Notamacropus eugenii: one gene and its partners. The protein of the gene in region 2 purifies or fractionates together with the protein of the main gene of each other region. This does not show direct contact. Links are inferred from orthologs where the notes say so. Each region holds a gene or a part of one and is shown on either strand. Other genes may lie near its edges. The genes, in order: EIF3K, EIF3B, EIF3D and EIF4G1.

Region 1 (6,991 bases), on a different chromosome or scaffold from region 2:
TTAACCTGTTGGAGAAAGAAATGGCAAACCTAGCCAGCGTTTTTGCCAAGAAAATCCCCGGGACAGTATTGGTGGGCTGTGGTCCACCGGGTCAGATCCAACTGACCAAAAACAAATGGATCATCCTGGTCAAGAGGTCCAATAAGCAGCTGGAGAGGTGAGTAGAGAGGTCAGCAGGCTGGATAAGTAGACTGGAGAGTTGACAGAATATAGATGATCACTTAATCCATGGCAGCGAATCACCAAGTGAAATATAGATGAAGACAGGCAGAGACCCAGGCAGCCTTGGTGGGGTCACCCTTCTATTAGCAGTCCTGAGCTGGATGAAGATCCAGCCAAGGAGACTCAGAAAGCCCTTTGCTACCTGGTCCCAACTTCTCCCAGCCTCTGCTCCCCACCCGCCTCATGACCCGTCCTCCCCCAAGCTCAAACCGCCCTGACAATGAAACTTTCCCTGACTCCCACCACTGCAGTGCCCTACCTTACACTAACACTGACGGTACACATGTTGACAGACTTACATGATGCCTCCTTCCAGTTCCTGAAGAGTAGGAGCCTCCTTTCTTTCTACTTGTACCCCTCGAACCCAACATAGTGTCTTCTGCCTGCCACAAGCTTCTTCCTACTCCCATGCAGCCACCCCCCAACTGCTAAAGCACTGGCCTGACCAGTCATCTGGCCCATATTCAAACTCTAGGGGCTTCTATCACCCCCAAGATCAAAGAGAGACTCCTGTTGAGCTTTTAAAGCCTTTCCTTTCATCTTATACCATTCTTTGGCCTCCTAGCTGTTGCTCTCATCTCTAAACTCTGAAAGTCTAGAAGGCTCTCTTTGTCATCTTTGCCTCCAGGCTTCCTTCTGGTTTCTGCCTCAAGTCAGTAAGACATCGATTCAAACCTTGCCTCAGACACTAGCTATGTTGTCTGCCTCAATTTACTCAACTGTGAAACGAGAACAATAATAGTATCTACTTCTTAGGACTGCTGTGAGAATGCTGGGCTATCTCCAGTCTTCCTGATCTGTATCTGGGTCACTGGACCTAGCTGGCTCAGGAGAAGTGAGGCTGGTGACTGTGCACAGCCTTCCCTCACTGTAATCCAATTTATTTGCATGTAATGGCATCCCCTCCCTGATGTCATGGTCCTCTTCAAGAACTCCATGAGGAGAAAAGGAGCTGTTCACTGGAGACTAAATTGGAACTGGTCAGTTAATTGGGCAACTAGTCTTTATCTTCTTTCCCTCAGTCCACATAAGGTATCACACCCTTATCTTTGGGTGCTCTGTCTGAAAGGAAGGTAAATTTTTAATCTCTGAAACTTTTTCTTCCTCTTCTCTTATTAAAAGACCAGCCTTATCCCCCAAAATCACTCTGGTGCTCACTGATTGGCCAATAATAGGTCCTAATCCAAGTCCTACTTGGTCACTGTTTGGGCCCTGATAAGCTCAGAATAAATGTAGGTAGCAATTATTTCTGTTTTGGCCAGAAACCTTTGAGGTTCTTCCTCTCCCAGATCTATTTTTTTAGAGGTCATTCTTTGCCTCATTTCTTATTAAGCCTTAATTAGTGAATAGGCATTGCCTCGCTCAAACCGGGACAAGATAAAGACCTTAGCTTGAAAAGGCCAAGGTCCCCCACTGCATCCTGGGCCACCTCCAGTTGTCCTGATCTGTATCTGGCCACTGGACTCAGATGGCTCCAGAGGAGAAAGTAAGGCTGTGGACTTTGCACAGCCCTGCCTCATTTAAATCTGGTTCACTTGTATGTCGCAGCATCATCACCTTCTTCTTTGAGAACAAAGAACAAACAGTAAGCAAACAGCTGTGAGGGTCAAATGAGATGCTTTTGCAAAGGGCTTAGCATAGGGCTTGGAACACAGGTGCTTAATAAGTGTTTTTTCTCTAACTCCTTGGCAGGAGACTTTTCCTGTCCCCCAGGCTATGATTATCTCCACCTCATCCTTTTCCTACAGAGTTGTTTGCATGCTGTCTCCCTCTTTAGACTGTGGGCTCTCAGAAGGCAGGGAGGAAAGCAGCAGCCTCCCAATCAGCTCCCAGCCTCGGGGTTCTCCCTGTCAGATCCATCCTCCACACAGCTGCCTCCCTGACTTTCCCAAACTTCAGGCCTGTCACTTATCCACTCAATCAACTGAAAAAGCTGCTTTCTGTCTCTTGGATCACAGATTTAGAAGGCATTTGATCCAATCCCTTCATTTTACACAAGAGGGGCTGGGGATTGCCAATTCCAAATACCAACTCCTCCCTTTGGCTTTTAAAGCCCCCCCCATATCTTGGCCCCAACTTACCTTTCCGGCTTCATTATACCATTCATCCCCCTCCCACCTCACTCTACAATTCTGAGCGGTTCCTCGAGCTCCATTTCCCACCTCCGTGCCTTTGTCCAGGCTATCCTCCACCCCTGGCATGCTCTCCCTCCTGGGGCCCACTTTGTGGGATCCCTCGTTTCTTTCAAAGCTCAGTTCCTGAATTCTTCCCCTACACCCCCCTTTACTTTGTATTGGCTGGCATCTATTTGGCACCTACTATCCCGGGTTGGCCCGTGAGCTCCTGGAGGCCAGGGGCGGTCACACTATTTTTTGGTAAGCGCTTGCGGATGGGCTGCTGGACACCACACAGCCGTAACCGCACGGCCCGGGAATTCCCTCCCCGTCCGTCCTCGGGCCCAGCCCCTGCGGCCCCGGAGCCCTCCGAGGCCTGCCTGCCCGCACCTGTCGATGCCCTTGAGCAGCTTCCCCACGTTGGCGCGCATCTGCTCGAACAGCGCCATGGCCTCCTCCTTTTCACAAGCAGACGCAGACGCCGAGACCGGGTCCGGAGAAGCAACAGGAACCGGAAGGGGCGGGGAGGGCGGAAGTTCTCCTTCCCCGATGACACTTTCGGCCGCATGGTCGTCAACTTCTTCCGCAACGGGAGGCGGAGGTAAAGGCGGCGGCGGAGGGGGCTGCTTCCGGGTAGCACGTGACTTCCTCTTCCGGGATCGGTCCATTCTGGAGCATGCGCACTCGCACCGACGGAGAGCGGGCCAGACAGAGCTCACCCACGGTGAGGGAGGTGGGGAAAAAAACCCTCGGGAGCCAGTGCGCAGGCGTCCCAGGGTCTCTCTCGCCCTCTCCCCCTCCCCCTAGCGTCGCTCACTCCCCCTCCCCCTCGAGTGGGCGGGACCAAAGCTGCTGCATTGTTGCCCCTCCTCGCCGGCTTCGTCACGTGACAGGAGGCAGCTGCGCTGGAGACCCCACGAGTGTCCCGGGGAGGGGGGCGCCTGGATGCACGTGTACTTTGTGCACACATGAGACTTCCACGACTCCACATCCAACACGATCTCTTGCCTGTCCCCCACCCCTTGGTGCCTTCCCCCTGTCCTTGGTGTCCCCTCGGACACATGGCGCCCTCCTCCAGGAAGGCCCCTCCTCCCGTGGACTGTCTCCCAGTGCAGACCATTCTCTCCCCAGGGAGACGGAAGACGGGGGAAGGGTGGCAGTCACTAAATGAGTGACTCGATTCCCCTCCATCCGGTCCCCGGAATAATAAGAACGGGTGCGGCGACTCTCCCTCTCCCTCACTCTGGTTTGCCTTAGGCGCCTAATAGATGCTTAATCGATCGTCTCTCCCACGCATATTCCCATAAAGAGAGTCTCTCCTTCCCTGCCCGGTGACTGGCCAAGGCACGGGGTCAGCGGGTCAACAGCATTTTAAACACCCGTGAAGGGCCAGGCCCCGAGCTCAGGGCCGGCACCTAACCACGCCCAGTGGGCCGGGGGCCTCTCGGGCTCGCTGCTGCTCTGGAGCCCAGTCTGCAAACCCGGTGGCAGAGGTTGAGCTGGGGGCTCTCCAAGGTGCTGTCCAGGCTGTCCGCGTCAGCTCCCACCTCCAACCCAGACAGACAAGGCTCTCCATAAAGCCTGGTTCACTGGACCAGGGTCTCCGAGTTCTCCTCTCCGCCATCCTTGTGCCTCTCCCCACCCTGTCTTCTTCCATCCCAGCTTCTCTTTAGTCTGTTGGGGATCCATTATGTTCACTGTCCTGCGTGGAGAAAGGGGAAAGGTCCCCCACCGAATCGATAAACCAATAAGGCCTTATTTGCATCTCATTTACATTAGAGAGATTTTTCTGTCTAAACGCAAAAAGGAACCCCCTCCTTTTACCCCAGAGTTGTGCTGTGGTCCCCTGGGGCCACAAAGTCAGCTTGGGCCTGGCTCTCCCGCTGGGGGGGGAGTGAAGAGGGAGGGGCCCCCCTAGTGAGGCCTGGGCAGGAAGCGAGAGTGGGGGCCCTCGCGGCTGGCGGGCAGGGGAGAACATACCGCCTGCCCTCCTCCCACGGCTGCTGCTGCTGCTGCTGCAGGCTGAGTCAAGCATCTTCGCTCACAGAGGGCTCCCAGGAGGAGGCAGCCCTCCCCCTCCCCGAAGGCCTCCCCCCACCCTATCCCCAGCATGGACAGCGAAGACCTGGACATCGCCACCAAGGACCCTCAGGACCACTATGAGCTGCTGCAGAGGGTGGGGGGTGGCACCTACGGGGAGGTATTCAAGGTGAGGGGCCCTCCCCTCGGGGCCCATGTCCTTTGCCCCCTCTCCTCTAGGGTTCTCATATCCCTCTCCCCAAGGCCTTTTCCCAGGGCCACCTTTTCTCCCCCCAAGTCCTTCATCTTTTTTTCCCTGCCAGTTTTCCTACCCAGGAACTTCTACCTCCCTCGCTTCCCCCACCCCCACCCAGGAACTCCATTTCTCTTGCTTACGAGCTCCCGAAAACCCTTCATTTTTTCCTTACTCCTAGCCTTCATACTCAGGAACTTTCATCTCCCTCCCTCCATAGCCCCCTAATCAAGGTCTCTACCCCACCCTAAGTGCCTCATCTTCTTCTTCCTCTCAGCTTCCATCCCCCATCCTTCTATTCCTCCCCCCTTCCCTAGGACCTTCAATCCACCTGTCTGGGGGACCAGTCCAGTATTTGGAGTAGAATTCTGAACTTTGCTTCTGAGGTGAAGCAACAGGGAGGAGGCTAAGGAAGATGATGGAGGCCTTTGGAATCCTTTGGTTGTGGAGGTGGAGGGAAGGAAGCATCACCCCAGAGGTTTCCTCCCAGCTCCCAAGGACTTAGTTTAAAATTGCCAATGGCTGCTGGCTGGAAGAAAATTAGATTTACTCTGCCTAGCTCTGGAGGAAAGAACTAGCTTTAAAGGTGGAAGTGAGAGTGAGAAAGATGGATTATCGTTCAATTTGAGGAAGAGCTACCCTAACCATTAGCATTTTTAAAAAATGGAAATGAGCTGTGGGTTGGGGTAGGGAGTTCCCTTTCACTGACTTTGGAGGCTGGATGACCACTGGCTGAGGATGGGGATGGTGGGGAGAGATTTGTGTTTCCAGGAGGGCTTGGGGTAGATGGTCACGGAGGTCAGCTCTCCTGTCCTTCCTTCTATCCCAGGACCTTCTCTTGGGTTTGGGGGCTTTTAGAGGAACTCTGAGTTACCAGGAAGAGGGGACATTTGTACACCATTCTGCTCATTTGTTCCGGGTTTATGTATCTCCTGCTCCCTGCTTCTCCCCCATTACCCCCTCCCTTCCCCAGGCTCGGGACAAGGTGACAGGGGAACTAGCAGCTCTGAAAATGGTGAAGATAGAACCAGGTGAGACTGAGATTTGACATCCCTCCCAACCCTTGACCTTGGGATGTCTAGTGTCCACACACACATTCTGACCCTTTCTCTCCCTTCAGATGATGACCTAACCACCCTCCATCGGGAAATCCTCATTGTTCGGACCTGTCGACACCCCAACATTGTGGCCTACCATGGCAGCTACTTCTGGTCAGGGCCACCCCGACAGCTTCCTGACCCCTCAGACTGGCTGCCCAGCCCCCTAGATCGACTTTCTTACCCCTAGACTGATTATTCAATGCCTCCCCCCCCCCCAATTTCCTAACTCAGACCAACTCTCTAAACCTACAATCAGTTCTTTAATCCTCACCTTCTGCAACATCCCTTTGGATTCCCAGAAAGAATCTCTAACCCTCACACCATATCCTTGGCTCCTGAAAGTGGCCCTATTACCCTTCAGACCAACTTTCCTGATTCCTCTGCTCCCCCACCCCAATTAGGCTCCCAACTGGCCGGATGTTCCCTCTATCTAGTTCCTGGTTTCGCTAAAGCTAAAGAGACTCAGAACTATGGATGGCCAAGGCATTTCTCTGGATAAAGCCCCTAAACTCTTAGCCTCCCTGAGACTGAACCTACTCTGGCTGATTTTATTCCTTCCTCTCCCCCCCACTCCCACCCCATCCCTGCCCTCCTCTCCCTTTCCCTTCACTCCCTCCCCCCCAGGCTTCAGAAGTTATGGATCTGCATGGAATTCTGTGGCGCTGGCTCACTCCAAGATATATACCACAGTAAGGAGGCAGAAGGGGGGGGGGGTACCCTCCCCAGGTGGAGAAGCAGCCTACTACTGACCTTCCTGGCTTCCTTTAATCCCAACTAAAATCTCACCTTCCACAATCTACAGGAAGCCTTCCCCACCCCATCCCCCCTTCATTCTTGTGCTATTTCAGTACTATTCAGTCCAGATTGGAAGCTCTTTGAGAACAGATACTTATCTCTTTTTGTATCCTCAGTACTTAACACAGTGCCTCTCTTGTAATAGGCGATTAATATATGTTTACTGATTGATTGATTAACTCTGCTCCCTTCCCCTTCCCATCCCTTTCTCCTCTTTCATTCTATCTTTGCCTGAGTGGTGACTCAGCCCCCTGACCCCTGGGGTGGGGGTGGGGGGGATCTGTTGCAGTGACTGGCCCTCTCTCTGAGCTTCAGATTGGCTACATCTGCAGAGAAGTACTCCAGGTGAGGATGACACTTTTTTGATCCCCTCTCCCTCTTCTCCCTCTCCTTTCCCCTTCCCTTCTCTTTGTTTTTATTTTGTATACAGTTTGTTGTATTGGGGGCTCAAGTTCTGCCTCTGGCACCCATTGGCAAGAGCCTTAACC
Region 2 (7,220 bases):
ACTATATGTATACCCTGAATTAATTCATGAACATTAAAAATGTATTATGAAGAATTCCCTTTTGATACATTTCAATTGCAGCACCACTACTATGGAACTAAAATTATGTTTTTTAGTTTTAATTCAATGAATGGTCAATCATAATCCACTATTATTTTTAATTTATATCAACAATTTTGTACATTCTATTTTCTTTTATTATGTATTTCTAAAAAAGAGTTGATTATTACTTTTAATTTTAGTCAGTGTGATAAAAGAGTGATAGATTTAAGGAACAGAAGCTATGAGTCTCAATTCCATTTCTGCTACTAATTAAGTGACTCTGAGGAAGCCATTTAACCTTTTTGCATATCACTTTCCTCAGCTATAAAATGAAGGTGTCAGATTATAAAGAAAAACAACTTTGAAAGGCTTTAGAACTCTAACAAATATAATGACAAATAGAAATTCCAAAGATCCAAAGATGAAGAGATGTGTGTTCGACTTAAAATACAGATACATCCATCTTTTAGACATGACCAATGTGGGAATTTATTTTGCTTGGCTATGCATGCTATTAAGTTTTGATTTTCTTTCTTTTTTTTTTTTTACCTGGGGGAAGGCAGAAAAGAAAATAAAAGCTTGTTAACTGGAAAAAGTAACAAAAAAAATTAAAAGCTGTTCAATAAGAAAAAAAATGAGACTGAATTTGATAATCTCCCATCATAGATTAACTGCTGGAAGGGATCTCAGAAATAATGAAACTGAAGCCCATGGAGGCAAAGTTACCTCACATCAAACGAATTATTTTATTGGCCGATTTGGGATTGGAACCCACTGCACAGAATCATAGATCTAGAGCTGAAAAAGACTTCAGGAGCCATTTGGTCCAAACTCCTCATTTTGATGAATAAAGAAACTAAAACCCTGAAGGGTGCAATAATTTACTCAAGGTACAAAAAAAAAAACAAAACACAAATTATAGGTGGAATCTAAACTCAAATCCTCTTTCCTTTCTTTATAATCTGTTCTCTACTGCAAGTTTCCTCACCTGTAAAATGGGAATATTTGTACCTGTATTTTTGTAACTCTCAAATTTATATTAAAGAAAGCATAAAATTCTACATGAATACAAATTATTATTACATCACACATCATTTACGGAGTTTAAAAATGGAGAAGCAGATCACCTAGACAGATGCTGACAGCTTGCTGCCCCTTTACAACTAACTCTAACCCCCATCAGTTATAGGAAAATCTAAGATTAGTGGGCTGTGTATCAATTAAAAGCTTAATTAAATGGAAGGGGAAATTAAGTTATAAAGTTGGACCTGTTCTGAGGTTCCCTGAAAAAGAAGCATCTGTTTTAAAACCCAGAGACTAAAATACAGTACAGCAAATATTCCTAGTTATCTGAAAGAAGTGGCAACCTCACCCACAGACCTTGGAGTCAGGGTCCTGTGAGTAAAACACATTAAGGTATTTAATCTTTTTTGTAAAACAAAATAAATTCCTGGAACACTGATCTACTATATTTTGGACATTTTTGACTCAAACCTGTAGAGACCAGCAGTATTTTTAAAGATCTCTTTCTCTTCCTTTTCTCACAAAAATGAGAAGAAAATTACAACATAGAATAAAGCTCCCATTTCTATAGAACTTAAAGAACTGGGAAAAGTATTTCATATGCATGATTTTGATACTCACCACTCTGAAGGTGATGAAACTATTCTTATCTAACAAGTGAGGAAACTGAGGCTCAGACACGAAAAGTAACGCCTTCAGGTCTTCAAGACTCTTCTCCCTACCCCATCCCATCCCATCCCCCAACCTGTCCTATTCATTCATTGTACATAATATATACAGTTTCTCCACCAACAGAAATCTGAATCAACGAATAAGTAGAGAAAAAGACATGATGGAGTGAAACGAAGTCAGGTTCAAATCCTGGCTCTAGACCTTACACCTCTGAAACTGGTATCTAAAAAAGTGAAATTGACCACTACTTCAGCATGATCAGTTTCCTTTTACCACCTTAGGAAACACAATGTCTTAGTTTCACCAGACTGCCAAAGGAGTCCAAAGCACAAAAAGAGAGCTCTTTGCAACCTTTGGTAGGTCATTTACATGCCTCAGTTTCCTCGTCTCGTGATAATTCTTCGGCACCCTGGGTGGTAGTCAGGAAAGATAAATAGAGACTATTGTTATTATGTGACCATTCCAGACTCAGGGGAAAAAAGCAGTTTCTTATCTCGAGGCGGGGGACCGGTCCTCCCTTCCCTGGGGGTCCCTGCCCTCTCCATCGTCCCCCACCCCAAGCCCCGGCTCTCACCATCCTCGCTGATGTCGTCCACGAAGCCTTCGGGGTCGCTGAAGGAGATCTCGTCCTCCTCGTTGCCATTCTCCAGGCGCCGAGGCTCGGCCTCCGCCTCTTTGCCCTGGTCTTCCTTCTCGCCCCCAGCCTCCTCCTTCTCTTTCTCCTCTTCCTCCTCTTTCCCTCCTCTGTCCTCCGCCTTTTCCTTCTCCTCCCGCGTCTCCTCCTTAGCCGCCGGCGGCTCCGCCTTGGGCTCGGGAACCTTCTCGGGCAGCTGCGGCTCCCCTGGAGGTGGGGACGACGACGGTGGCGACCCGGCCGAGGCCGGTTCAGCAGAGGCCTTCTCTACCGCAGGAAGCTTCGCGATTGCCTCGGGCTCCGACCCGGGCTTGGTCACCGTCACCCCGGCGGCGTCCTTTTCCCCCTTCTCCTCGGGCACGAGCACGGAGGCGGCAGCTGCCGCCTCCTGAGGCCCGGGCCCCGCAGGCCTCTCCGGTTCTTCCTCGGCGGCCTGCTGCTCTGGCTCAGCCCGCTGCTCGGCCGCTTCGGGCACCGCCACGTTCTCCGCGTCCTGCATGGGCCTTGGCGCCGCCGCTCAGCTCTCGCTGCTCCCCTGGTTTCCCCGCCACCAAACTTCCGACTCTACCAGCTGCCACCGCGGGGCCCGCCGGCTCCTACTCCCAAGCCATGTGCGCCCAACCTGGGGGAAGGACCGTACCAACGGACCTACGGAGAGGGGGAAGGTCCCACGCCCTCGTTTGCCACAGCTTGCCTATAAAAGCTCAGAGCCACGAAAACCTGTTTTTAAATGTCTGGAATACTTCCATTACGGGCACAAGAAGCGGGGTTCCTGTCGTTGATGCCGCCTAACTCTTTAGATTAAATACTCTCCAACTTTGGGCCCCCCCATCTTGGGGAAACAATTTGGCTCGGTCCAACATGGCAGTCACTCTCGTAGTGTCTCGTTAAGCTCTACGTTAACAGCCTGAACCATTTGGGAACCTCAAAAGGGGGAGGCAGAAGTTCCTTTCTTGAAAGAAGAAAAGAAAAAGAAATGTGACCTATTAACCAATTCCAGAGAAAATGTAAAGTTCAGTAAAATTATTAGGTAGTGTTCTATTAACTTCTAAACGGAGAACTTACTAGGTCATAATCCTAACTCCCCCTCCGCGCCCGACACTTTAGACTGGTCTACTGACTAGGCAAAGAAACGGACCATTCCAAAGTGGAAAAGAAAGTCTGGGCAGGGCGGAGGAGCTGACCATCTCCATCCGGAGGATTCTGCTAACTTCGATGACGTAGTTGGATCGGTGGGGGTACTCTCATTCCTCTCTCTAACTCTCCCTGCCGCTGCCTTTATCCCTTGCTTTGTCCCCACAATCGGTGGTTTCTCCGGAATGGAACGGCCCACTAGAGACCTCCTCCCCTGGAGCCTGCCCACCTGGGGCTCCCGTGCTCGGGTGGGACCCTGACAGTGGTGCGGAGGCCGTGGGTCGAGTGGGGGGGAGGGAAACGGAGCTCTTTCAAAGGGTCTCGCGTGGCGTGGGAGGTTAGCCTGGAGGGGGATGTACGGCCTTGGGCAAGTCATTTACTCTCTTCCCATCGGCGCTCTAAGGGGGCGTGTCCTCTCCCGGAGTTTCCCATTCCCGCTGAAATCTCAGGTGTGGCAGCTCCTCCACCCAGGGGTCGGGGAGGGGCTTTTGGGGGGGACCTTGGACGCAAGTTTTACTGGTCGAAGAATGTGAGCTCCTTGAGGGCGGGGTCTGCTTTTTACCCCAGTGCCTGTGGTGGTGGTGGTGGTGGTGTAGGGTGTGTTCAGGAAGGACCAGTACTTTTGGTGATGGCTGCCAGCCCTTTTGGGGGGGGGGGGGGGGGGGGCGGGCCTCTTTCCACCTTCGGTGCTCACATGTTCCACCTAATTCTCACTGGTGGCTCCAAGAAGCAGCAGCATGCACAGCCCCCACACCCTGTAAACCCTTTAGGCCGATGGGCCAAACCAGGTTGAGGGTAACCAAGGGTCCTCAAATCCATTGGTGAGTTAGGGGATGCCTACCCCAAGCATGTGAAGACTTCCTCTGATGGAATGGGTGCATGACAACAATTTGTTCCAACAGCCATGAAGGCAGATGAAGCAGGCCTTGTGGAGCATCTAGAACTTGGTTGGACACTAAAGCCGCCACTGCATCCTGAGCCATTGCCAGCCGACTTGACTCTGTCCTGCCACTGGACTATGATGACTGGAGGAGAGAGTGAGGCTGACAACTTCGTGCAACTCTGCCTCCTTTAAATCCAATTTACACAGGAATCGAAAGATAAAAAAAAAAAAGATGGTAGTGGTATTGGTAGTAGCAGCAGCAGTAGTAATTCAAGTAACTTACCATGTGTGAGACTCTGTGCTTTCCACTTATCTCCTTTGATCCTAGTAATAATGATGGACAACATTTACATAGCCCCTCCTGGGTGCCAGGCACTGTGCTGAGTGCTTTACAGTTATCACATTTGATCTTCGTAATGGTAATAATAACTTTTATGGGGGGGGGGGCAGCTAGGAGGCACAGTGGATAGAGCTTTGAGTTTGGAATTGGGAAGACTCACCTTCCTGAGGTCAAATCTGGCCTCAGACAATGAGTACCTGTGTGACCCTGGGCAAATCATGAAGCCTGTTTGCCTCACCTGTAAAATGAGCTGGAGAAGGAAATGGCAAACCACTGCAATGTTTTTGCCAATAAAATCCGAAACGAAGTCTCACAGAGTTGGACATATCTGAACAACAACAGTTTCATTTGCTTTTCATAATAATTTTCTTAAACTAGCTAACATCTTGTATAGTGTCTGCTAAATGCTTTACAATTATTCTCATTTGATTCTCATCCCAGCTCTGGGAGGTAGGTGCTGTCATTATCCCCATTTCACAGATGAGGAATCTGAGGCATACAGCTTAAGGCCAGTCCAGTAAACATTGGTGCTTACTACCTATGTACCTATTAAGCACCTATGATGTGTACAGGCACTGTGCAAGTCTGGGGATGCAATTAATAAAAACAAAGACAGTCCCTGCCCTTAAGGACTTTATGGTCTAAAGGGAGAAACAGCACACAAAAGGAGGAAGGAAAAGGGGGGGAGGGCACCCTGAACTGAGGCATCTTGTTCTGTGGAGGGTAATGATCTGAGTCCAGTTTGAGCCCTCTATAAAGGAAGCCTTTGCTTCTTAAATACATTCTATTTAAACTAATAGAGAAATACTGTTTCAGAGCACTGTCAGTACACTGCTATTAGACCAAACGTATACTATATATATGAACTATATATAAGTGATTTTTATTAATGCTATAGTTTTTAATTAATGAATATTGTATTTTTTAAAGAGCTCCAGGATATGCATGTTCTTCCTCATAGAAGATGGACATAACTGATCTCTCAAAGATATCCTTAAGTGATTTTAAAATCTCATTTCCATAGAGTTCAAAAAATATATACTTATGTTACATAAAATCTGCTTTTCCTTTACCATTTCAGTAAAAGGCATTCAAGCTGTAAAAATATCAAAACCTTCATGAACTGATTATGATCAGATTAAGAAGTGTTGGTTTCAGCAATTTGTTTCTAGGTTTTGATGGGAGTACTTGGTTATTTCGTAACTGCTAGTTATAAACATTTCTAACTATAAGTGTAGAAAATCTTAAATATTAGCATACTTTAAAAACAAGTTTATATGAATGAAAGTGAGAAAGATCTGATTAAACACCTCACAAAGGATTATCTTTTTCTACAAAAACTTTTTCTTTATGCTGCTGATCCCCATTTTCCGCCCAGAGTATGGTTTCCTTTCAGAACAAATGCTTATACATAGTTTATTATCTTATCCAAATAGTCTCAAGAACCTCGATCTGGAACATTATCACAAGTGAGAAGCTAGCCTGTTAGGTTTATATTTATTATGATAACCATGCTTTCAGAAAGGAACCTTACAAACAGGCTTCATCTCTCTTTCTAAAACAATAAAAAATTTTAATTAAGAATAAAATAAAGGAAGACTTTGGGGGAGTTTGAACTCTCCCTCCAGTCCTCTAATTAGAGGGAGAAAGGGTTGAGGGAGGTGGTGACTATCCATTAATGCCTGAGGTAACAAGCATAGTGGTAAGTTAAGAAATGAGGAGGTTATCTAACTGGGGCATGCATCTGGTTCCTTGGGGTTGAAACCACGCCTAATACAAAGTGGAAAGATAAGAGGACTAAGTCAAGTGACTTGCCCCAGGTAATACAATAAGTGTCTGAGGTTGAAATTATAGTCAAGTCTTTACTGTACAGATCCCCAAAGTATCCTATGAGCCACTGTCTGCCTTCTCACTTTACTTGATTTTTTTTGTCATGAATCCCTTTGACAGACTGATAGAGTCTATGGACTCCTCAGAATGATATTTTTAAATAATTGAAGAAAAATTTCAGTTAGAGGTTGTCCTCCTGAAATGAATCCTTCCCCAGGTGCTGTGAGAAGACTAAAATCCAATTAAGTATTTTGGCTCCTGCAGAGCCCTTGGATTGAGCTAACTAGATGGCCCAAAACTGGACATGGAGTCAGAAAGACCTGAGTTAAAATCCAGTCTTAGAAACCTACTAGTTGTGTGACTCTGGGTAAGTCACTTAATCTCCGTTTAATTCAGTTTCCTCACCTGTAAAATTAGGGTTATAACAGTACCTACTTCACAGGAGTGTTAGATTAAATGAGATTAAGATTTGTAAAATGTGCCTGGCACATAAGAGATACTACATAAATGCCAGTTATTATTTGTTGTTATACCACTGGATAAAAAAAAAAAACCTTTTTTTTTTTTTATTCTGGGAATATACTTTTTCCTGGAAAAAGGAGGTTGGGTACAGTCCATGTTGACAAGTAGCTTCTATATTACCTTACATGGTGCTCAGTAAA
Region 3 (6,973 bases), about 93 Mb from region 2:
ACAATTTCATTAGTCCCCATACACAAGTCAAATTGTACATAAAAAGGGGCAAAGTATGGCTGAAAGTGTAAAAATGTCTCTACCATAAAAGCATTCAGATTAACTCCAACTGTGAGGGACCACTTTCACAGAAGCATGTTGCTGAAACCATGATCCACCCCCCTCTGCCTCCCTCCCAGAGGGTGGGGTCTGGGCAGTCCCCACCCTTGCTTGCGTCTCCACCTATCTACAGGCTATGCATTACAACTTCTTACATCCAACCCACTCCTTTGACCCATCTGTGATGGGATGTTCTTGCTACCTGCCACTCTGCTTGGACTCAATCTGTGACTTCAGGGGTAGAGGAGCTCTCAGGTGAGGACACTCCCTCCACTAGCGTAGGCCAGCAAATGTCTCACAACTCAGCTTGCCCAGAGTCACAGAGACTGGCCACTAAGTAAATCAAATACTTATAGACTCCAGAATAAAATCCTTTTTAGTCCTACCTGCAAGGAGCCCGAGAAAGCCCTGAAATGGTAAGCAACTGCCAATGGGCCACTTTTCCCCAAGGAAAGCCTGACTTCAGTAAATGAATGGACCCCAAGCCCCATAAGCCAGGATCTTCAGTAATGCTTGGACCCAATGGCAGGACCCCCAAGATGGTTTGGTCCTAACCTGGGCAAACCTCATCCTATTCCTTTGGTAAGCCGTCTTCTGGGTCCGGGCTGTGTCTACGAGTTGGAAGCTGGTCTCATCCTCCTCATGGAAATAAGCGTATTGACTTCCACCCCCAAACTGGGAGGAATACTTATCTGAAGAGACAACACAGCAAATACTGACTTAGAGCTTCAGGCCCCTCATCTAACGTCTTCTGATGAAGAGACAGACCCGGGGAAGGCAGGACAAAGGGTCATGCAGTGGAACAAATCCTTTTCACATGCTATTTTCCCGAGTTCCCACTTCAGAAAGTCAGTTCAGCAACACTTACTCGTGTACCTCTTATCCTGGTAGGTGGCCCCTGTCCAGTCTGCAACCTAATCAGGATGACAAGGAGGAAGAGAAAACGCACAGGTCAGTGGGTCAAGCCACTGCTGCCTCAGAAATCCCCAGCCAGGGACCAACAGAGCACTCTGGCTAACAAAAGACCAGCCACGGTGCCTTGGGAAGCATCTTGTCTGTCACAATGACTTTCAGAAGGTCATGGCCTGTCTCAGCAGGCATCATCACAAGGAATACGGGTGACCTGGGCTTTTGAGAGAATGAAAACTCCAGCATGTGCTGCCAGCTAGCCTCAGCAGGCTTCACAGATTGGAATCCCTGCAACCTTGAAGTTACCTTTCCCAGCCGATCTCCTTTACTGAAGGGCTGATAGGGCATGTCCCGAAATTGTTCGGGGACTGCACAGGGACCCCAGCCTGAGGGGTTGTCCTGGATCACAGGAGTCATGAATTTTGCCATCTTCTAAAACCTTGAAAAGACAAGCAGATCATTATGGCCAAACCAGGAGATGCTCAAAGGGAAAAGAGCTTTTCCCCACCTCTCAAGTCTGGCTGAACAAACCCAGCCACATATACTCCCATAGGGAGTCACCTCCCCTGTATTCCCTGATTTCAACAACCATTAAAACCAGCAGCACAGGGATTATTATCATCTGATTTTTACAGCCAAAGAAGCCAAGCTTTGAGAAATGACATCTAGGGTCCAACCCACAGCCTAAGAACAAGGATCCTTTCCTGAAGACATCGGTTGCCATTGTTTCAGACTCTCTGTGACCCCATTTGGGATTTTCTCAAAACCACACTAGAGGGATTTCTCATTTTTTTTCTCTAGCTTGTTTGACAGATGAGGAAACTGAGGCAAGCAGGGTGAAGTGACTTGCCCAGAGTCACACAGCTAGGAGGGGTATGAGGCTGCATTTGAATTCAGGTCTCCCTGACTCTGGGTTTAGCTTTGCTGATAAATAACAACGTATCTTTGAGGTGCATTTTTATTTAGGCAATAGGAAACTGGAGGGTGTTAGCATATGCGGACATGGCATGCAAACCTGGACGCTTCCCAGCTAAAGTTGCACCACTGATACATTGTAACACTGCAAATCTTATCATTGTTGTAACACAATTGTCACACTTCTTCACTGACCCAAAGGAGGAGAGGAAGCCCCCCCCAGCACGAGAGGGCCCCCGCCACTGCCCTGGCCCAGGAGCCGGGTCTCTACGGCTGCTGGTAGGCCCAGAGTAAGGGGCTGCACCAAGAACGGACCCTTCCTCCAAGGCGGGGTGGGCCCCAGGGCGGGAAACCCAGTAGTGCCCCAGCTATTTACACGGGGCTTTCCCTCGGGCCGGGGCGTGGTTCTCAGGACCCCCCTCTGCCCCGTGGGTGGGCACGGGTACATAAGTGAAGACCAAGCAGGGGAGGGTCGGGTCACTGCCCGCCTACGGAACCTCAGTCTTCCCGGCTGTAAAGTGGGGCGGGGGCACGGCGCCCGCGGATTTAACAGAAGCTGGTGGCCTGGGATCTCGAAGCACTGCAGGATTAACTCCCGCAATCAGGGCCGGGCCCAGAGACAGCTCTTAAGGTAAGAAGGCCAAGCCCTTCCCACGCCAACTCCCGTACAGGTGGGGAAACTGAGCCCGCAAAGACTACCCGGCGACCAGACCTGAGGCCTGGTCGGGGCCGCTGGCTCCGGGGAGCGCGGGCATCGGGCTCCGCACGTGCCGGGGCTCTCCCGGGCCCCCCGGCCCCGAGGCCGACGCCGCTCACCTGCTCAGGCCCCGGCGGGTCCCGATGGCGACGGATGATTCCAGGCGCAGTACCGGCGCCACCAGCCACTTTCCATGGACCGACCAGGAAGGGACCCGGGGTGCGCGCGCAGCTCCCGGCGCCGTAAAGCGGCGCAGTGCGTCCGGCCTTGTCGTAAAACACTGAGAGAACGCGCCCCTTCGCTCTCTTCGGGTGGGGGAGGTGGAGGGCGGGGCGGAGCCGTACAGCCGTAAAGGGAAGCGGAACCCGGAAATGAGTCCTTGTCTTAAAAGGAGAAAAAGGGAGGCGTGCACACGTTACGTAAACTCCACGTCCGGCGAGGGGGCGGGATCAAGTTTTCGCTTGGAACGTGGCGTGGAGGTGATGATGATTACTATCTTCTCTCTCAGTATCCCATAATACCCCGCGGAAAACTACGACGCGCTAATCTGCCCCTCTGTATCCCATAGTGCCTCGCGTGGCGGGCGGCTCTTTTCTCATGCTCCTCTGTATCCCGCAATGCCCCGCGGCGGCCTCAGTTCTCTGACCCTAGGGGTTATCAAGGCCGGCCAGATAGGGGCGGGGGCGGTGGGGGTTGCCCTTCTCGCTGCCCTTGGTCAGCTGTTGCCTCCACTGCGGTTCATCCTGGCCCTTCTGCCACTTTGTGGATGTTATGATAATTACAACTCCAGCTAGCGTTAATCTGACGTGTGACAAGTGTATGACGTCACGCTGACCGATCCAGGGTCGGGAAATTCTGTGTTCAAATCCCACTGTGGTCACTTTGCACATCGCTCCATCTGCCTCAGTGTCCCCATATGCAAAATGGAGATGCAATAAATCCCTCTGGGGGTGTCTGGGATATAGCAACCAGCGCCCGCCCTGGAAGAGAGGTGGGAATCCACCTGGGAGGGCTGAACGCCCTGGGTTCGAATTCCATGCCTGACCCTTCCAAGCTTTGTGAGCCTGGACAAGTCACAGCCTCTCCTGGCCAACGCCCTTCCAGTTCTTAGGCTGTTTCTATAAGACAGAATCACAGAGATCCTACTTGAGATCATAGGAATCAATCAATTGTCCAATTATCTTTTTTTCAGTCTATCTGACTCTTCATGACCCCATTTGGAGTTTTCTTGGCAAAGAAAGTGAAATTGCTTCTCATTTCCTTCCCCAGCTTATCTTACAGATGAGGAGAGGGCAGCTAGATGATGCAGTGGATAGAGCGCCAGTGCAAGAGTCAGGAGGACCTGAGTTCAAATCTTACCCCAGACACTTGACACTCACTAGCTGTGTGACCTTGGGCAAGTCACTTAACCCCAATTGCCTCATCCTGGGTCATCTTCAGTCATCCTGATGAATATCTGGTCACTGGATTCAGATGGCTCTGGAGGAGAAGTGAGGTTGGTTACCCGCACAATCTTCCCTCACTCAAAACAAAGCCAAGTGCAAGTCATATCATCATTTCTCTGATGGCATGGTCTTCTTTGGCAACAAAGGACGAACACACACACACACACACACACACACACACACACACAGATGAGGAAACTGGGACAAATGGGGTTAAGTGACTTGCTCAGGGTCACACAGCTAGGAAGTGACTGAGGCTGGACTCGAACTCATGAAGATAAGTCTTGAGTCCAGGACTGGTGCTCTAGGCATGATGGTACCCCTACCTGTCCTTTAAGGAGGCTGAGGCTCTGTAGCTGGAATTTGGTGGCAGGCTTTAGGCTGGGGGCTCAGTTCTGATTCAGGAACACTGGAGTTTGTTGATTGCTTCTGATGGCTGATTTCGAGGATGGGGGGGTGGGGTGGAACTTTTCCACAATTACTGAATATCAGAGTTGGATGAATTACCCTATCCTTGTATGTAGACCAGGGGGAGTCTACTTTGGGGATTGTTCCATTTGTTAGGAAGTAGGTGAAATCAGCCTCTTTGGAACATCCCCCCTCTGATGCCCATCCTGCCCTCTGGGGCCAAGCAGGGCATTTCTGACCCCTTCTGCAGGACAGCCTTTCCTTCCTCCCTTTTCAAGCACAAACAATCTCACTTCCTTTCACCTCCCTCTTAGGGTGGGATTTCAAAGCTCTTCATGTCAGTTACCCTCCGGTGGACATGCTCTATAACAATGTCCTTCCTAGAATTTAGCAGATGCCTAGGCTAGAACACCACAGTACAGATTCAGTCTTCTCAGGGCAGAGGACAGAGGTCTGGGAAGCTGCTACACTTGGATCAGCTTTAGTGTGACCTAGACACAGACTAGTGTGGACTGGGCCAAGCTTGCCAGAGGAGAAGGATGTTGACCTAAGTCTCAGGGGAGGGCTCTCAGGAAGACCAGAGGCCCGGGAGTCAGACATAGATGTGTGCCAGGGGCAAGCCAGCACTCGGAGACAGCTAGGGTCAGCAAGGGTTAAAGAGAAGGCAGCTGAGAGGTCTTGATCATCTCCGACACCGTTGTCTTCTTTTGCTTGATTTCAGCCTTTCCCCGAAATTTCCCAGTACCTGTAAGCCTGAGAAAGTCTGGATAGAATCAGGACAAGGATGTGCTGACAAAGTGCCCAGTGGTCTAAGGAGGAAAGAGCCTTAAGGGTTAGTGGTAAAGCTTTTCCTGACCTGGTGTGGGGCATTTCTGACCCGGTCAGTTCTCTGGACACACCCCTTCTCCCCTCTGCCCATCTCCCTGATAATCAGGGCTGCTTGATGCCAGTCCTTCAACCCAAACAAGGGACATGAGGAATGTGGGAATTTCAGGCACCTTAGCAAGGCCAATGGTGTGTGTGTATGTGTGTGTGTGTGTGTGTGTGTGTGTGTGTGTGACAGATCTGAGACTTTACAGTTTATGGGGAACTTTGGAATATATGATGTTATTTAGCATCTTTATGGAGTCATGACCACTTTGTGAGGTGAGGTGCAGAGGAGAGATTTTTGTGTCCATTTTAAAGCTGAAGAAACTGAAGCTCAGAGGTCATAGTTTATAGGCAGCTCATTTGGTCTGCTCCTTTCATGTTACAGGTGGGGAAACTGAGGCTTAGAGGTCATAGTTCATAAGAAGCTTGCTTGGTTTCCTGCTTTCATGTTATAGGTGAGAAAACTGGGGCTCAGAGGCCATAGTTCCTAGGGTGACAATCTAGGGTGGCTAGGGTGGCTCCTCTCATATTCTAGGGCAGGAAACTGAGGCTCCAGGGGTGAAATGAGATGTCCAAGATGGTAGAGGTGGGACAAGAAGCTAGAGATTCTGGGGCCCCAGTTGAGCTTAGCACCATTTCCTTGTTTTACTAATGGGTAACCAGTTCCCTTGTTACACAGATGAGGAAACTGAAGAGAGGCAATGATTTGTGCAAGGTCGTACAAGCAGAATATGGTGAGGCTGGATTCAAAACCAATACCTAGCACATAGTAGGTGCTTTAGTGGTTGATGGAAGGAAACCCAGTCCCTCTGAGTGCAGACCTGTGCTGTCCTCCTTTTAGAGTGCTCACAGAGCCCAGGTGGATGCTCAGATGTAGAAAAATATGGAGAAAGAATATGGAAAGGAGGGCATTGCATCATCCTGCTGCAGTTGGGGGATGGGGAAGGGGCCAAGCAGGGAGAGGAAGGGAAGCCTTTGACTCACCACTCTACCCCTGCCTCCCAGGCTCTTGTCGCCCCAGCAGGTTCTAAAATAGAAAACCTGGGAGGATTCAGGCCTTTAAGAGTCTCGGGATGAAAGGCATGCCATCCATTCAGAGTCTCTGGTATTCATAATCATTTTTTATTTCAATTGAATGTAGACTCAGTCATCACAGGACCAGTTCTCAGAATAGAGAGGTAGGGACCTGTTGAATCAGCCAGCCCACTTCCTGCCACCCTCGGGCATCGCTCCAAGTGCTGAGGCATCATCCACTTTCTGCTGGAGCCCAAGATAAATAGAGATTCATGGCCCTGGCTACAAGAGGCAAAACAGATTTCCATTTTCCATCCTTTCCTGCTGCCCTTAGTGCCAAATTACTTTGCTGGTTTGGAACAATCTTGTTGTTTTCTCTCAAATGAACCTTCTCTAAACACTTTCCTTGTCCCTCAGATTTCTCTGTGACAGGCAGCTAGGGGACTGGCTGGATTCCTTATCAGAAGACCTGGGGTCAGTCACATTCTGCCTGGTTGACCTTGCCTTTCCTCATCTGTAAAACTGGAGAATTAGAGTTAGGAAATGATCTCTGAACTCCCTTCTAGCTGGAAGATTCTGGGACAGAAGCTTGTAGATAAGAAAGGACCATTTCATT
Region 4 (7,724 bases), on a different chromosome or scaffold from region 2:
GTTCTGGGGGCCTCTCGGGGCTCCATGGCTTACCTGCTGTGCCTTCCTCTCTCCGGCAGGGAGTGGCTGTGTTGGGCATCGCCCTCATCGCCATGGGGGAGGAGATTGGGGCTGAGATGGCGCTCCGGACCTTTGGTCACTTGGTGAGTTGAGGGGCCAGGAGAAGCCCTCTGGCACTCATGTAGACCAGCACTTTGAGACCCAATGGCGCAATGACCAAAAATTAATTCAAAATCAAAGGCCTAATGAATCCCCAGGTGTTTCTGGCTGCCCTTGTCCATGTTGCATCGTCTCAGTCTCACTGAGGCCTTCATTGTGAACGCAAGTGTGTACACTCTGCCCTGTGCGCGCCCTTGGGCCACACAGCAATGGTGAAAAGGGATGGGAACTGGGAAAAGCCTAAGGAGCCTGGATCAGACCCGTGCTTTTAGATTTATAACAAAATCTTGTTAGTTTAGTGAGGTGCAAATACCTATTCACGTGCACATTCTGGAACAGAGCGAAAGGCTATAGCGAAGCCCCAGACCTCTTTGGTTGGCTTGGGGATCGGAGCCCACAGGGTTGTTTCCCAGTGCAGACTGCCTTGTTCCTCATTTCCCCTTGACCTCTTCCTCTCCCAGTTGCTTTTCAGGTTTTGCTCTTATTTACATACTGTGCTCAGCAGGGCTTTTGTCAAGGGTTTGGGTTTGCAGGGGCTCTCAGATCCTCTTTAAATTATTTGTCTCTTCCCCCTTTTCCTTGAGTTCTTCATCTCACTCACATCCATTCCATTCATGTATCACAGTCTATCAGTCATTGCAGTTCCCTTATTTTACAGAAGATGGAACTTACTGTCTTGGGTGAATGATTACCCCCCAGGCTCAGAGACAAGAAATGGCAAAGCCAGGGCTCAAGCCCCTCTCTTCTGACTTTACCCTGTTGGCCCCCAGGGGCCCTCACACATTTGGATCAGAGCCTGTGGGTGCTGGGATGGGAGCTCTCTCTTCGAGCTCCCTCTGACTTTTTTTTATATCCTCTACCATACAGCTTAGGTATGGGGAGCCCACGCTGCGCCGGGCAGTACCTCTGGCATTGGCCTTGATCTCAGTCTCCAACCCAAGGCTCAACATCTTGGACACCTTAAGCAAATTCTCCCATGATGCTGACCCGGAGGTATCCTATAACTCCATATTTGCCATGGGCATGGTGGGCAGTGGTGAGTATCAGCAGAGAAAGGCAGGTATTGGGCACAAGGGGGCATCTGGGCCAGGTTTGGGGAATGACTAACTCTGTGTAGCATCCCTGCCCCCAGGAGTCCCTCTCTGCTGCTTCATCTTCTCAGGTACCAACAATGCTCGTCTGGCTGCCATGCTGCGCCAGCTAGCCCAGTACCATGCCAAGGACCCAAACAACCTCTTCATGGTCCGCTTGGCCCAGGTGAGGGGGGTGCTCTTCTCTAAGAGACCTGGAGGTGTGGGGGCAGGGTGGGTTGTATACATGTTGGGCCTAGACCATCAGGCTTTCTGGCTGGCTGGTCTTGCTGGAGTCCTGACCCTCCCTGTATCCTAAACAGGGCTTGACACATTTGGGGAAGGGCACCCTCACTCTCTGCCCCTACCACAGTGATCGGCAGCTTATGAGTCAGGTTGCTGTGGCTGGGCTGCTCACCGTGCTCGTCTCCTTCCTCGATGTCCGCAACAGTGAGTGCCCCTTGGAAAAGTCCTAGAAGGGCTGACTCAGCGTCAGGGCAACTCTCCCAAGATGTTAGGGCTCCTTTGGAGATACCTGGATGTTCAGGTTCTGACCATTGGGTGGGTCTTGGGGCGTAGCTGTGCTTTTCTTGGGCTACTCTTGTACTGTTTTATGCCCAGGCCTGACTCCCTTTAGCTGGGCTACAGTGGGACTGGCTGGCTTCTGGGGTGAGGGACTGGCCATTAATTCCATTGTATTTGGTGTTTTAGGTAACTTTTCCCCACCTTTCAAGAGTCAGGCAGAGTGACCTCAGGGTTAGGGGAGCAAGCAGAGTGTGGGCAGAATGAAAGAATGACAGCCCTGGGGAGCATAAGGCAGTTTGGGGAGTGAGGAGCGTCGAGACGGAGGAGGTGGGTTGGGGAAAGCTGGGGGTGCTGAGCTAGAGCCACTGAGGCAGCTTAGGAGTGGATGGAGGAAAGCTGGTCACCTGCCCCTCTCTATTTCATTCTTAGTCATTCTGGGCAAGTCCCACTATGTGCTCTATGGGTTGGTGGCTGCCATGCAGCCCCGAATGCTGGTCACCTTTGATGAGGAGCTCCGGCCGTTGCCAGTATCTGTCCGTGTGGGCCAGGTGAGAGATCTTCAGGGGCTGGAACACGGCAGCCATTCCTCTGGACCTCTGCAGGGCAGGAGGGCTACTGGATTCACTGCTCTAAGACTCTTTCTCCATTTTTTATCCTTTAGGCAGTCGATGTGGTGGGCCAGGCTGGGAAGCCCAAGACCATCACCGGATTCCAGACACACACAACTCCAGTGTTGCTGGCTCATGGGGAACGGGCTGAGCTAGCCACTGAGGAGTTTTTGCCTGTCACTCCCATCCTGGAGGGCTTCGTAATCTTGAGGAAGAACCCCAACTATGATGTCTGAGTGGCCCTGGGGGCCCTAAATTTTAACTTGAGTCTGGGGACTAGGCAATACTCCTTATTCCAGAGGTGGCTCTCCAACAGCCCTTGGGGGGAAGCTGTTTCCCTCCTGTTTTTTTTTGTTACAGAATGAGATGACTATGTTGAATTAAAGACCCTTGTGCCCTCTGTTTCATTAATGTCTTTTTTCCTGGGGTGTGCTAGCTGGGGATGAGGGTACCTGGGCACAGGCTGGAAGGAATGTTCTGGATCACCAAGTTTTTCAACAATTGAAAGTTTATTTCTTTAGCTCATCAGTCACTAAGCATTCATTAAATTCATTACTGTGTGGCAGGCACTGGTCATACAAAGGAAAATGAAATCGTTCCTACCTACCTTCCAAAGAGCTTACTTTCGTTCGTGTGTGTGTTTTCTACAGCTTCTGTACGCAAGCTCTCAGGGGAGCAGGAAATCTATTTTCACCACTTGGGATGGAAATGGAGGCTACATCCCAGTGAGGTTCCGCCACTCAGGATGTCAATCTGTGGGTAGCTCTGTTGGAGCTGTTCTCCCTAATTGATTTGCAGTGGAATTAAAAACTAGATAACCACATTTCTTAGTGTGGTGGAGAATAAGAAAGCCCACTGGGTATTTAGGAGTTAGGCCTGTGTGTGTGCTTTCACAAGGGTATCAGCACAGATGGGCTGCGGAGACTTTCTTACTGTAATTTCACGTTTTCATAAAGCTAAGAAAAGTTTTCTGGATGCTCTTTTGCTCTTGCTCCCCGTGGTGCAAGGCAGCCTTGCCCTGTAGCAGATTAAGTGCGAGCTCAGCAAAATCAGCCAACACATGGATTTGTGCTGGACACGATAGGCTACCTCCTATATCCATGGTCCCCCACCTCCGGGCCCTTTCTGCTGACTCTGTGGTTCCCTGCTGTGTTTTTGTGTAGGTCAAGTGATGAGAACATTAAAGAGAATGAGACCGGGCCAGCAGCAAACTGGGCTTCTTGGTCCTGTCTCCATTTCTACTGGTCACTGTTGGACAGCCTAGCCTTGACTTTCCCTACAGTCCAACTCTACTGACCTCTGCCACCTCCGGGAGAGTAAGCCTCTGGGGTTGGGAATCTGAGGCAAACAGGGCGAGGTCACACAGCTAGTACCTGTCTGTCCTCCTAACGCCAGCCCACCTGGCTGCCCCTGCCCTTCCCTGACCCCTTCTCTTATGCTCCGCTATTATCTGCTCTCCTCGGACCTTAAAAGTTCCCCGCAACTTTCAATCCAAAAGACCTTCAGCAGCCTCCTACGGGCAGCTGGTGGGTACTCGTGGGAGAGGCCCAAATGGCATCACCGTGATACAGCCAAGTTCGGCGCCCCACCGAGGCCCACCAGAACCAATCGTGCGTCCCGCGTTTCCTCGGGGCTGTCTCAGTGCTAGCACGTCGTTGGGCTCGCTGTCCTTCGGAAGGAAAGGGGGTGCGGTCCCCAGGACTCACTGGGCCTCGCGCCTGTTCTTTCGTGTCACTTCCGCTGATAAAATCCCATCAGCTTTGGGTGCTTGGCCACCTGCCGGTGCCAGGGATTTTCGTGGTCAGAAGCCCATTTACCTTCTGCCACGGAGGGGACGGGACAAGGCCCGCTGGGGGGCATCACGCTGGGTGGGCACGGGCTGGGGCAGTTCCTCCAGCTCCTCCGGTCCGCGCTCAGCCCACACGTGGAGATGGGACGCGGACGCGGACACTCCATCCATGCGGCGCTCCCGGACCTCGTGACCTGGGGGCCCTGGGGGAGCCTGCGCCAACCTCCTCCGGCGGAGGGGGCACGACAGCCCGGAGTGGCTCCTGAGGGCAGGGTCTGGTCCGCGGCGGCCCCCAGGGGCTCCGAAGGCCCCCCCCGACAGAGGAATGCGGTTGAGCCAGAGTGGAACTTCTGGCCTCCCGGCGGGCTCCACGTGATCGACGAGGGCCCCCGCGGCTGGGGGCGGGGAAGACTCTGCGTAGCGGCAGCGGGGGGACGCCGGCGTGACGGCGATGACGACACACGCCGCAGGCGGGCCACCTCCCAGCCCCGGCCGGTGCCACCCAGCCCCCTGCGCCGCGGCAGTCACGTGGCAGGCCGGGCCGCGCCTGCGCCTGCGCCTGCGCCTGCGCCTCGGGGAAGAGGCGGCGGCGGAGCCGGAGCGGTGTGCGGGAGCCGGAAATGGTCGTGGACGGCGCCTGTGCGGCTGCGTGGGGCTCGGCCGCGCGGACTGAAGGAGACTGAAGGTAACGGCGCCATGTCCGGGCCCGAGCCGGGCCCCCTCCCCCCGGCATCCGCCGCCATCCGGCCCGGGGCCGCCCGCTCGGCCCCGCTGCCGCCGGGCCCAGCGCGGCCCGGCCCCGCCCCGCCGCCCGCCCTCCCTCCGGGCCGGCCGGTCCCGGCCTCGCGCTCAGCCCAACTCGGCCCGCCGCCCGCCCGGCCCCCTGCCAGCCCACGTGTGCCGGCCGCCGGCCGGGTCGAGCGCGGGGCCGGGCCGGGGGCCGGGGCCGAGCCTGCGGAGCGCGGGGTCGGGGTCGGGGCCAGGGCCGGGGCCGAGCGGGCGGCGGGGCGGGAAGTGACACGTTGTTCTCTGGCGCCGCCGCCTCGGGAGGGAGGAGCCCGGGCCGGCCCCAGGCCCAGGCCCAGGCCCAGGCCTAGGCCTTGCTCGACCCCGGCCCGGCTGGTCGACCCGCTCCCTTCTCCGCTCCCCTCCTCTGCCTCTCCCGGGTGCGGGCCCGGCCGCCCCCTCCTCCAGCCTGTGCTCGACCAGAGGAAGCCCAGCACCTACTGTGTGCGGGCCGCGCGCCCCCCCGGCAAGCGTTGCCTGTTCTGCACCTACTGTGTGCGGGCATTGGGGTCCCCCCTCCGTGTTCTTGGCTCTGTGAGATCAAGCACTGCCTGCTCAGCCTCCCTGTGTGCCAGGCACTAAGGCCCCTTCTTTCCTCTTGTTCTGTAAAGAAATCTTTGCTGTTCAGCACCTACTGCGTGCCAGGCGTTGGGCCCTAGCCTCTCTTCTTTACTCTGTAAGATCAAGCACCGCGTGCCAGGCATTTGGGGACCCTCTTCCCCTCCCTCCTGTCTGCTCTGTAAGAAGCCTTCTTATCTGTCACTGCTGTGTGCCAGGCCATGCAGCCCCATTTCTCTGCTGGCCTCTGCTCCGTAAGAGCAAGTCTTTTCCTGTTTAGCACCTACTGTGTGCCAGGCACTGGGGTCCTCCCCTGTGTTCTCTGCTATGTAAGATCAAGCACTGCTTTTTTGGTCCCTAAAGTATGCTGGGCGTTCACCCCCTCCCTTTGTAAGAGCAGGAATTTCCTATTTAGCCCCTACTGTGTGCCAGCCACTGCCACTGTGCCTGACCTCTCTCTCCTTTTCCCTATCCCCCCAGTCTCTTTGCTCTTCCCCTTTTCCTAGGACTAGTATGTCCTCAGGGCTTCTCTCAGGAACCCCAGGCAGGCCTCCTGACCTTCCCTTCAAACTCTCTCCCTCTCTTCTCCATTGTAGGAACCAGTGTCAGTTCTGGTTCTGGACCTCTTCCTGATAAACCCCCCCCCACCACCACCACCACCTCTTTTGAACTCCTGTGTCCAGGACACCCACCCACCCACTGAATTCAGACCCTCACTTTGGCCCAGCTGGGCCCCAGCTGGCTTCCCCGAGGCTTCCTCTGGCACTTTGTCCTTCACGTGCTTTCTTAGGCAAAAATCATTTATCTTCTGGTGTGTCTCTTACCATCCCCTGGAGGGGGGGGGGGGGGGGTTCCTTCCTTTTTTGTTCTTGGAGCATGGTGCCAGGGAGACCTTGAATTTCTGGTCCGGTTGGTCTTAGGCTTCTGGAGCCAGGTTGATTCCCCCTCCCCTTCTAATCCTAGGCCCCTCGGATGCCCAGAGCCTGTAGGCCACAGCGTGGATTTGTTGTTTCCCGAGGGGGTGAGTGAGGGGCAGTTGGGGCTGGGCTCAGATTCCTGTCTGTGGTCTGGAAACCTGCAAAGGTGGGAGACCCTAGCTTTAATTATTAGGGACTGAGCTTCAAGGCCTTAGATCCCCTCCCTGGTGCCTCTTTGAACACACGCCCCCCTCTCTTCACAGGTGCTGGGGGGACCCTGATGTGGCACCAAATGAAATGAACAAAGCTCCACAGCCCACAGGCCCCCCACCTGCCCCATCCCCTGGACTCCCCCAGGTAATGGGGGACTGTAGAGAAAGGCTGGGCCCAGAACTGAGCTGGGGGGGAGAACAAGTTCCAGTTGGATTCCCCAGCCCCTAGATGGGAGGCAAAGTGGGAGTCTTGGTGGGGGGGCCCATGGCCTCCTGGTTCTGGGGGAACTGAACTTGCCAGCCCCAGCTCTGTTAGCTGTCTTGTCTTGAGCCACTTTGTTCTCCCCCCAGTGGTTTCCATTCCCCCTTAGTTTCTCTTCTTGCTGAATTCTGGTCTCCCCCTCTATAGCCGGCATTTCCCCCGGGGCAGACGGCACCGGTGGTGTTTAACCCGCCACCAGCGACCCAAATGAACACGCCTTCTCAGCCCCGCCAGGTGAGGGTCTGTGGGGAGGCAGCTGGGACTTGGGGGGCTGGGGAAGGACCAGGAGAGTTGAGTGGTCAGGGCCTGGCTCCTCGCACCTGCCTCTGATCTCTTCCAATCCTTGTTCTCCTGTGTCCCCTTATTCTTTTTCAGTGCATTATTTGATAATGAGTGCCCACAGGAGACACGCCTAGGTTATGGGGGTACCCCTAACGGGGAGCCCCACAGAGCTGGGAGCAGTGCACCTGGGGTGGCCCTAATGGAGCTTACATCTTTTCTGTCTCCTCTCTTCTCCTGGTGGTCGCAGTAGCTCTGGTCATTGTCCCTTGTGGCCACTCTAGCCCATGGGGGAGAGGAGCCCCATTTTTTCTCCCCTGCTTCCTTCCTCCTAAGAAGGGATGCTTCTTTCCCTATTCTCCTCACTCCATCCCTGGCCACCTGGGGGATAATTCTCTTCTTTCCTGTCCCCATGTGCTCTCAGGGAGGATTCAGGTCTCTGCAGGTAATGCCTCTTGCCTGATCCTGGACCATAGCCTGGTCTCCCAGTCACGGGCGGGGCAGCAGGGACAGGGTCCTGGGGGATGATGGGGAGATAGCCTCCTGTCCACCCAAGATG

The links.
Region 1: the proteins of EIF3B (region 2) and EIF3K purify together in Homo sapiens (affinity purification with mass spectrometry; 7 studies listed by BioGRID and IntAct, with this or other methods). This does not show direct contact. The link is inferred for Notamacropus eugenii from reciprocal best matches to the Homo sapiens genes EIF3B and EIF3K.
Region 3: the proteins of EIF3B (region 2) and EIF3D purify together in Homo sapiens (affinity purification with mass spectrometry; 10 studies listed by BioGRID and IntAct, with this or other methods). This does not show direct contact. The link is inferred for Notamacropus eugenii from reciprocal best matches to the Homo sapiens genes EIF3B and EIF3D.
Region 4: the proteins of EIF3B (region 2) and EIF4G1 purify together in Homo sapiens (affinity purification with western blotting; 7 studies listed by BioGRID and IntAct, with this or other methods). This does not show direct contact. The link is inferred for Notamacropus eugenii from reciprocal best matches to the Homo sapiens genes EIF3B and EIF4G1.

The regions. Positions count from the first base shown.
Region 1 is NC_092876.1:31,814,492-31,821,482, reverse strand, and holds the start of EIF3K (eukaryotic translation initiation factor 3 subunit K), read right to left. Parts: upstream 3,005-6,991; coding exon 2,727-3,004; intron 1-2,726. Other genes in the region: MAP4K1 (mitogen-activated protein kinase kinase kinase kinase 1), read left to right, coding at 4,447-4,545, 5,582-5,639, 5,729-5,819, 6,333-6,397, 6,793-6,848. UniProt on the Homo sapiens protein: Component of the eukaryotic translation initiation factor 3 (eIF-3) complex, which is required for several steps in the initiation of protein synthesis.
Region 2 is NC_092874.1:386,499,675-386,506,894, forward strand, and holds the start of EIF3B (eukaryotic translation initiation factor 3 subunit B), read right to left. Parts: upstream 3,008-7,220; 5' UTR 2,871-3,007; coding exon 2,312-2,870; intron 1-2,311.
Region 3 is NC_092874.1:293,568,207-293,575,179, forward strand, and holds the start of EIF3D (eukaryotic translation initiation factor 3 subunit D), read right to left. Parts: upstream 3,012-6,973; 5' UTR 2,740-3,011; intron 1,448-2,739; 5' UTR 1,438-1,447; coding exon 1,315-1,437; intron 1,014-1,314; coding exon 968-1,013; intron 792-967; coding exon 655-791; intron 1-654. UniProt on the Homo sapiens protein: mRNA cap-binding component of the eukaryotic translation initiation factor 3 (eIF-3) complex, a complex required for several steps in the initiation of protein synthesis of a specialized repertoire of mRNAs.
Region 4 is NC_092873.1:57,030,756-57,038,479, reverse strand, and holds the start of EIF4G1 (eukaryotic translation initiation factor 4 gamma 1), read left to right. Parts: upstream 1-4,709; 5' UTR 4,710-4,836; intron 4,837-6,458; 5' UTR 6,459-6,516; intron 6,517-6,675; 5' UTR 6,676-6,709; coding exon 6,710-6,769; intron 6,770-7,033; coding exon 7,034-7,120; intron 7,121-7,439; exon of another isoform or gene 7,440-7,577; coding exon of another isoform or gene 7,578-7,610; intron 7,611-7,724. Other genes in the region: PSMD2 (26S proteasome non-ATPase regulatory subunit 2), read left to right, coding at 60-143, 1,027-1,195, 1,322-1,416, 1,553-1,679, 2,184-2,302, 2,416-2,598.